Canis lupus familiaris: one gene and its partner. Each later gene encodes a partner of the first gene's protein in a complex. Links are inferred from orthologs where the notes say so. Each region holds a gene or a part of one and is shown in the gene's direction. Other genes may lie near its edges. The genes, in order: XAB2 and PPIE.

What was found.
Region 2: XAB2 (region 1) and PPIE share a complex: the UniProt entries of both Homo sapiens proteins name them as parts of the XAB2 complex. The link is inferred for Canis lupus familiaris from reciprocal best matches to the Homo sapiens genes XAB2 and PPIE.

The regions. Positions count from the first base shown.
Region 1 is NC_049241.1:52,810,643-52,814,935, reverse strand, and holds the start of XAB2 (pre-mRNA-splicing factor SYF1), read left to right. Parts: upstream 1-1,275; coding exon 1,276-1,326; intron 1,327-4,293. Other genes in the region: protein PET100 homolog, mitochondrial, read right to left, coding at 1-22, 196-282, 940-966. UniProt on the Homo sapiens protein: Involved in pre-mRNA splicing as component of the spliceosome. Involved in transcription-coupled repair (TCR), transcription and pre-mRNA splicing.
Region 2 is NC_049236.1:3,240,574-3,245,061, reverse strand, and holds the start of PPIE (peptidyl-prolyl cis-trans isomerase E), read left to right. Parts: upstream 1-1,468; 5' UTR 1,469-1,529; coding exon 1,530-1,560; intron 1,561-2,447; coding exon 2,448-2,546; intron 2,547-4,488. UniProt on the Homo sapiens protein: Involved in pre-mRNA splicing as component of the spliceosome. Combines RNA-binding and PPIase activities.

The DNA.
Region 1 (4,293 bases):
TCTCAGGTGGCCACAGCTCCCTCTGTGGGAACAAAATAACGGCTGGAAGCATGAGCCAGGAGCCTCCAGACACACCCCCTTCCCTGTACGGCAGGGCTGGCTGGTGGAAAGGGGACATTGGTCCCCAGCAGCTGGGTGCTCCAATCTCTCCCCCACCCCCTGGAAAGAACCCATGAATACTCTCCCTGTGCCCACCTTGCGCTGTATGACATAGTCCTCAAACCACTCGGCCTGATTGGCAATCCAGAACATAGCGACAGGGAAGGTGAGGTAGAGTGTCATCTAGAAGGGGCGGGGGATAAATGGGCAGAGCCAGGGATTAAAACCCCTTCCACGATACGCGTATGTTGCTCAGAGCCTGGAGGACCATCCTCCCGCAGTGCCAGGAGTGCCTCTTCAGGGCCCCCCAAGAATCGCACAACTCCCACCAACCCGGTAATAATAATAATTCAAGAGACCTCAAGTCTCCCCCAAATCTGGGAAACTCCCTCTCAAACACACACACACACACCCTGACTCAGGGTACAAATCCTCGTACTAAAATCAAAAGCCTCCTCGTGAAACCTCATTCCCCACCCGCTCGTCAGATCCCTGGAGCACCCCCAAGCCTTGGAGTCTCTTCCCCTAAACGTAGGGGTCTCCCTATCAGAAACACACAACCACACGGAGCCCCTGAGCTTCCCCAGATCTCCCCCAGGGTCCGGAGCCTCCTTCTCGGAGCCCCCGTCGCCGGACCACTCCTCTCCGAGGCCCTCCCTCCCAACAGCCCTCCCCTAACCCAGCGCCCCGCCGCTGGGGCTTCCAACCCGAAAGGTCCCTCTCCAAACACAGACGCCTTCTCCCCCCGACATGGCCCTCTCTTGGAGTCCCCCCCTCTCAGAGCCTCCTCCCCAGATCCCAGAGGAGCCCAATCGCCGCCCGGCTCCGAAGCTCACTGACCCGAAACACCTCCAGCTTCACCCCCATCTCGCTCCTCCTAGGCTACAAAGCCGCTTCCGCCCAAAGTCGACCCTCCAGCAAAACGGCAGCTCATTGGACGTTCGCGGGCTCCACTGCTGAAGCTGATTGGTAGAGGGGCTTCGTGATGACGTCATCTTCGGGGCCTCGTCTCTGCTTCCGGTCCCTGGCCCTTTCTAAGCGAAAGTCAACAAACGCGGTCCGCGGGGTTGGAAAGGGCTCAACCAATAGGCAACAAGTCTGGCCCTGGGGGGGCGGGCCTTCAGAGGGAGGCGTCATTAGAGCGCGACTCCTGCCCGTACCTGGAGTCCCCGGAAAATGGTGGTGATGGCGCGTCTGTCCCGGCCCGAGCGGCCGGACCTAGTTTTCGTGAGTCCGCGGCGGGGCGGGGGGTGGCCCGTGTGGGGGCACCGACCTTGGATGCTTCCCGGGTTCGGGGCTTGGCCGCCTGGGGTGACCGGACCAAAACTGTGTCCACCCGAGGGCGGGACGTGCGGACCAGGCTGGCCAGGAGCAAAGTTCTGGCGCCGGAGTCCAGGTGGTCCGAGTGAAGAGCTGCTGTCGAGGTTAAGGGCCAGGAGGCCCGGGCCTCGGGCGGGAATGGGGACTCGCGGGGAGAGGGGAGGGTCGCCAGGCTAACTCTCGTAGAGGTCTGCGTCTGAAGTAAAGGCTAGTGACCCAAAGCCAGGGCTCTGGTTTCCGTGGTAAAGTCTTTGAATGTTTTGAGTAACAGCCTAGGTCTGGTACCGAGCGTTATCGTTTCTGGAATACAGGGCTTGGTGTGTGGATTAGGAGAGCTCCGGAGTCGGCGTGGAGCTGGTCGGGCGATCGCCGGTGGGATCTTGAAGAGTCCGAGACTTGGTGTCTTGGTATCTGCAGCACAGGCATATATGTCCTTGGATTTCGTTTCACAGATATTGTAGGGTTTTTTTTCTTTTTGTTTTCTTTCTTTCTTTTCTTTCTTTTTCTTTTTCTTTTTCTTTTTCTTTTTCTTTTCTTTTCTTTCTTTTTTGACAAATTGGAGATTTTGGGCAACCCTGCATCAAGCAAGTGTGTTGGCACCTTTTTCCAACAGCATTTGCTCAGTTCATGCCTCTGTGGCACGTTTTGGTAATTCTCACAGTATTTCAAACTTTTCTGTTACTTTTGGTTTGGGGGCACCAGGAGCCACGCCCATATAAAAGGGGAAGTTAATAAATGTTGTGGACTGTGTTCAGGACTGCTTCCTGGGTTATTGCCCACCTCTGTCCTTGGGCCTCCCTTCTCCCCCAGACATAACAATATTGCAGTTAGACCAATTAGTACCTTACAGTGGCCTCTAAGTGGTCAAGTGAAGGGAAGAGTCACACGTCTCTCACTTTTTTTTTTTTTTTAAAGATTTTATTTATTCATGAGAGACACAGAGAGAGAGAGAGAGAGGCAGAGACACAGAGGAAGAAGCAGGCTCCATGCAGGGAGCCCGATGCAGGACTCAATCCCGGGACTCCAGGATCACGCCCTGGGCTGAAGGAGGTGCTAAACCGCTGAGCCACCCGGGCTGCCCAGGTCTCTCTCTCTCTCTCTCTCTCTCTTTTTCTTTCTTTCTTTCTTTCTTTCTTTCTTTCTTTCTTTCTTTCTTTCTTTCTTTCTTTCTTTCTTTCTCTTTCTTTCTTTCTTTCTTTCTTTCTTTCTTTCCTCTTTCTTTCTTTTCTTTTCTTTCTTTTCTTCTTTTCTTTCTTTTCTTTCATTTTTTTTTAATAAATTAATTTTTTATTGGTGTTCAATTTACCAACATACAGAATAACACCCAGTGCTCATCCTGTCAAGTGCCCGTCACCCATTCACCCCCACCCCCCGCCCTCCTCCCCTTCCACCACCCCTAGTTCGTTTCCCAGAGTTAGGAGTCTTCATGTTCTGTCTCCCTTTCTGATATCTCCCACACATTTCTTCTCCCTTCCCTTATATTCCCTTTCACTATTATTTATATTCCCCAAATGAATGAGAACATACACTGTTTGTCCTTCTCCGATTGACTTACTTCACTCAACATAATACCCTCCAGTTCCACAGGTCTCACTTTAAATCACAAGCTAGGGCAGTGCGGGTGGCTCAGTGGTTTAGTGCCACCTTTGGCCCAGGGTGTTACCCTGGAGACCCAGGATCATTGAGTCCCACGTCGGGCTCCCTGCATGGGGCCTGCTTCTCCCTCTGCCTGTGTCTCTGCCTTTATCCCTGTGTGTCTCTTGTGAATAAATAAATAAAATCTTTAAAAATAAAAAATAGGGCACCTCCGGTGACGCAGCGTTTAGCGCCGCCTGCAGCCCGGGGTCTGATCCTGGAGACCCAGGATTGAGTCCCACGTCAGGCTCCCTTCATGGAGCCCGCTTCTCCCTCTGCCTGTGTCTCTGCCTCTCAGTCTCTCTCTCTCTCTGAATAAATAAATTAAAAAAATACTTAATTAAAAAATAATAATAAAAAATAAATCTGTCATCTTTCCGTAATAAATAAATAAATCACAAGTTAGAAATGATTAAGCTTAATGAAGGCGTGTTGCAAGCTGCGATAGGCCGAAAGCTAGGCCACTTGCACCAAACAGCCAAGTGGTGAATGCAAAGGAAAAGCTCTTGAAGAAAATTAGAAGTGCTACTTCAGTGAAGATATGAATGATAAAAAAGCGAAACAAACAGCCTTATTGCCGTTATAAGAGAAAGTTTTAGTGGTCTGGGTAGGAGATCAAACCAGCCACAACATCCCTGTAAGCCAGAGTCTTAACTCAGAGCAAGTCGGTAACTAGTTGGTTCTACAAAGGCTGAGAGAGGTGAGGAAGCTGCAGGAGACGAGTTTGAAGCGAACAGAGGCTGGTTCATGAGGTTTAAGGAGAGAAGCCACCTTTATAACAAAAGCGTAAAGTGCAACTGCAAGGGCTGATGTAGAATCTGTAGCAAGCTGATTGAAGATTTAGTTAAGATAATTAATGCAGGGCAGCCTGGGTGGCTCAGCGGTTTAGCACCGCCTTCAGCCCAGGGCATGATCTGGAGACCCAGGATAGAGTCCCACGTCAGGCTCCCTGCATGGAGCCTGCTTCTCCCTCTGCCTGTGTCTCTGCCTCTTTCTCTGTGTCTCTCATGAATAAATAAATAAAATCTTTTAAAAAAATAATTAATGAAGGTGATTACACAAAACAGACTTTAAAAACATTTTTTAAAAATTATTTCTCACAACCTTGAGATCAAGAATCAAACACCTAACCGACACAGCCACCCAGGCGCCCCAAACAGACTTTTAATATAAGTGGAAAAGCCTTCTCTTGGAAGAAGATACCATCTAGGATGTTCATAGCCAGAGAGAAGTGAGTGC
Region 2 (4,488 bases), on another chromosome or scaffold:
GGCGTCCCCACAGCACTATTTTAGAACATAAAATGTGATCATGAATTCCCTGTTACAACCTCCTGTAACTGCTCCAAGCTGCCATCCTGCACATGGCTTATGGGGTAGCGTCACCCTTGCCTACCTTTCCTGCCTGATCCCATGACCACCCCCTGCACACTCTAACCTTTCCATCCCTCGAGTGTGCACAAGCGGATCTCCTTAAAATCTCCCTGCTTCCTCCTCTCCCAGCTTCTTCTTCCTTTAGGCTTTAGCTTCGAGGAGACTTTATTTTATTTATTTATTTATTTTGAGAGAAAGAGAGCAAGCACACCTGGGGTGGGGGGCAGAGAAAGAATCTTAAGCAGGCCTCACCCAGCTGGGAGCGGGAGGGAGAGCAGAGCTTGACCTGCCCACACTGAGATCGTGACCTGAGCCTAAATCATATCCCCCCTTAACCGACTGAGCCACCCACGTGCCCCTAGGCTTCAGCTTAAATGTGACCTCAAAGAGGTCTTAACCCACAGGTCTATGGAAAACAGGTGGCCCCATTAGTTTCTGCCACAAATGGCAATCTGCGATTTCTGAATTGGCTTAGTCCAAGAGTCAGGGGGCAGGTATTTCAGGCCTTGTGGATGGACCATAGGTCTTCTGACCCTGTAGTGTGAAAGCAGCCACAGGCAAGCGATGAGCATGGCTGTGTTCCAATAAAACTTTATAAACACTGAAAATTGGATTTCATAAATTTTCATATCTGCTAAGATTATTTATTTTATTTTTTTTAATTTTTTTAAATTTGGACTTTATTTTCCTTAAAATTTTATTTATTCATGAGAGAAAGAGAGGCAGAGACACAGGCAGAGGGAGGAGCAAGCTCCATGCGGGGAGCCCGATGTGGGATTTGATCCTGGGACTCCAGGATCAAGCCCTGAGCCCAAGGCAGACGCTTAACCGCTGAGCCACCCAGGCATCCCTGCTAAGATTATTTAAAAAGTTCTCCCCGTCTACTTAAAAACGTAAGGGGATCCCTGGATGGCTCAGCTGTTTAGTGCCGGCCTTCAGCCCAGGGCGTGATCCTGGGGTGCCAGGATGAGTCCTGCATCAGGCTCCCTGCATGGAGCCTGCTCCTCCCTCTGCCTGTGTCTCTGCCTCTGTCTCTCTCTGTGGGTCTCTCATGAATAAATAAATAAAATCTTAAAAACTAGATTTTTTAAATAAAATAAGTAAAAACCACCTGCAGCTGCCAGGGTGTCCAAGGGCCCGCGGGTGGGGCGGGGTGGCCCGTAGTTTGCAGATGGTTTACTACCCGCGGAGCAGGCGGTTCGGCCGAGCACCCACCGCGTGGGGCCGCGGGGCTCACGGCGAGGACCCACCGCCCCGAGGCGGACAGCCGGGGGCGGGGCCTGCGAGCGCCTAGGGGCGGAGCCTGCGAGTCCCTAGGGGCGGGGCGGGGCCGGAGGGGGCGGGGCCTGCGAGCGCCTAGGGGCGGGCGGGGCCTGTGAAGGGGGCGGGCCGAACTCCGGTTTCCGGCGGGTGCGCGCGGGAGCAAGATGGCCACCACCAAGCGCGTGCTGTACGTGGGTGAGCAGGCGCGGAGCCGGCGGAATCGGGGCTCGCTCGCCCAGGGGTCTCCGCGTGGGGCTGGAAGGCGTCTAGGGACGCGGAGGGTGGCGAGCCTGGGTCTCGGCCGGGTCCGTGGCGGTACTGCTTGGCTGCAGGGAGCTCGGCCGCCGTAGCAGTCTCGCCGGCTCCCTTCCAAGCCCGCTGAGCTCTGATGGGGACCGCTTCGCCTGCTGGGCCCGGAGGATTGGGAGAGGCGTCTGACGAGGCTCCAGATCCTCGCTGCAGCGGGGGCTCGGCCCGGGCCCCGGCCCGGAAGGAGGGAGTCCCGGGACTCACCCGGTGGAAGTGAGAATGACCTCAATAGCGAAGTTTGATGAGCGCTCTATGGCCCAAGTAGGGTCGTTACGTTTACTGAAAGGGGAGCAGCAAGAGCAAAAACCCCCGAGGTGTGAAATAGCCCTGCACCCATGGGGCAAAGGGGTCATCTTGCGGGAAACCCAGAGAACTGAGGAAGCAAAGGGAAAGAAGGCGAAGAGATGGGCGGGGCGGGGAGTTTGTACTGTATCTTGAGGACGGTGGGAAATCTCCGAAGGAGTTGAAGCAGGGAAGTGATGGGTGAAAATCTGCACGTTCCCAGGTTTGCTCTAGTTGGCTGCGTGGAGGAGAGGGAGGCCAGCTAGGAAGCTGTTGCAGTAATCCTGGCGCTAAGATGCGCGTCCGCAGGAAGGGTGAGGAGGTGTGTTTCATGAGTGTTGGGTGAAGGAGCAAATGAGAAACGTGCTTCTGAGCCCCGAGGACTGGACGGAGCAGCCCCCTCTCCGTGGCTGTCACGTGCTAACTGGGCTGCAGGGACTTCTCCAGAGAGTGGAGGACAGTGGCTCAGAAGGCGCTTGGCATCTTCGCAGGTGGGCTGGCAGAGGAGGTGGACGACAAAGTTCTTCATGCTGCTTTTATTCCTTTTGGAGACATCACAGATATTCAGATTCCTCTGGATTATGAAACAGGTGAGGCCTTTTCATGTCATGTTCACAATCCTAAGAGGGGAAAAAAATTCTAACTGCATTCTAAATATGGTTGATATGTAGGAAAGCTCAAGAGGGTGCCTCATTAGGGCAGCATGACAGGGATCTTGATGCAGAAGGAATGTTCGGAGGCTTGTGGTTATAAGGTTATAAGCTATGACATAACTTTGCAGAGAGTCCCATCTGTCGAGTGTGAGAGAAGATTTTCAATAGCCGGGATGCCTGGGTGGCTCAGCGGTTTAGCACCTGCCTTCGGCCCAAGGCGTAATCCTGGGGTCCCAAGATCGAGTCCCTCATGGGGCTCCCTGCATGGAGCCTGCTTCTCCCTCTCCCTGTGTTTCTGCCTCTCTGTGTGTCTCTCATGAATAAATAAATAAAATCTTAAAAATTTTTTTTCAATAGCCCAATAGGAAGATAGGTTTTGAACTACATGGAGATCTGACTGTTGTTTCAAACTACCTGCTGGGTACCCCACCACCCCCTGCTGCTTTCTTGGCAGCAGTACTGTTGATCAGGGCAGCAGGGAAGCTCAGCCCCAGCTGAAGGGCTTTGGCCTCTGCTTTCCTGGGTGATATTTCCTTCAATTGGCATCACAGGTTCATTGCAGATTTTCTGTCTTGCCTTTGCTTTCTTTTCTTTTTTAAGATTTATTTTATTATTATTATTTTTAAAGGTTTTATTTATTTATTTGTGATAGACATAGAAAGACAGAAGGAGAGACATAGGCAGAGGGAGAAGCAGGTTCCATGCCAGGAGCCTGACGCGGAACTCGATCCTGGGACTCCAGGATCGCGCCCTGGGCCAAAGGCAGTCACCAAACCGCTGAGCCACCCAGGGATCCCCCTTATTTATTTATTTTAGAGATAGCACATGAGCACAGGAGTGGGGAGATGGGAAGAAGGAGAGAATCTCAGGCAGATTCCCTGCTGAACGCTGAGCCAGACAGCAGCTCAGCAGCTCATGAGATCATGACCTGAGCTGAAATCATGAGTTGGGTGCTTAATGATCTAAGCCACCCGGGCACCCTGCTCACCCACTTAGTTGTCATTTTTAAGATTGGAGTTCTAGGCCTAAATCTGTCATCACCCTGCCTGATTATTAGCAAGGTCTTTAAACTCTCTGGGTCTGGGATCTTTATCTGTAAAAAAACAATACAAGCATACTTTGGAGATACTGCAGATTGGGTTCTAGGCCACCACAACCAAACCAATATCACCATGAAACGAGTGAAATGAAATTTTTGGTTTCCCAGTGCACTCAAGTTACGGTAACTATATTGTGGTTTATCAGATGTGCAGTAGCATTATGTCTAAAAAAGTAATGTACTGCCTTAACTTAAAAATACTTTATTGCTGAGGTGCCTGGGTGCCTCAGTCAGTTAAGCATCTGACTCTGGCTCAGGTCATGGTCTCAGGGTCCTGGGATGGAGCCCCGAGTCCGGCTCCTGGCTCAATGGAGAGCCTGCTTCTCCCTCTTCCTCTGCCCCTCCCCTCGCTCGTGCTTGCACTCTCTCAAATAAATAAAGTCTTTTTTAAAAAAAAAATACGTCATTACTAAAAAAGGCTAACCATTATATGAGCTTTCAGCGAATTGTAAATCCTGTAATCACAGATCACCATAGCAAATATAATAATAATGAAAAGTTTGAAATAGTGTGAGAATTTCCAACATGTGACACAAAAGACAAAGAGAGGAAGTGCTGTTGGAAAACTGGTACCAATAAAATTGTTTGCTGCCGGGTTCCCTTCAGTTTGTGAAAAACTGCTATCTATGACATGGAACAAAGCAAAATGCAATAAAATGAGGTGTGCCTGTAAGGTTATATTGGCTCTCTAAAGTTAGTAGTAGGTTTAATTAAATTAACACGGTTGTGCTTGGCCTTAGATCAGCATTTTTCTGAGGAAAAAGGAGTGAGCATCCTCAT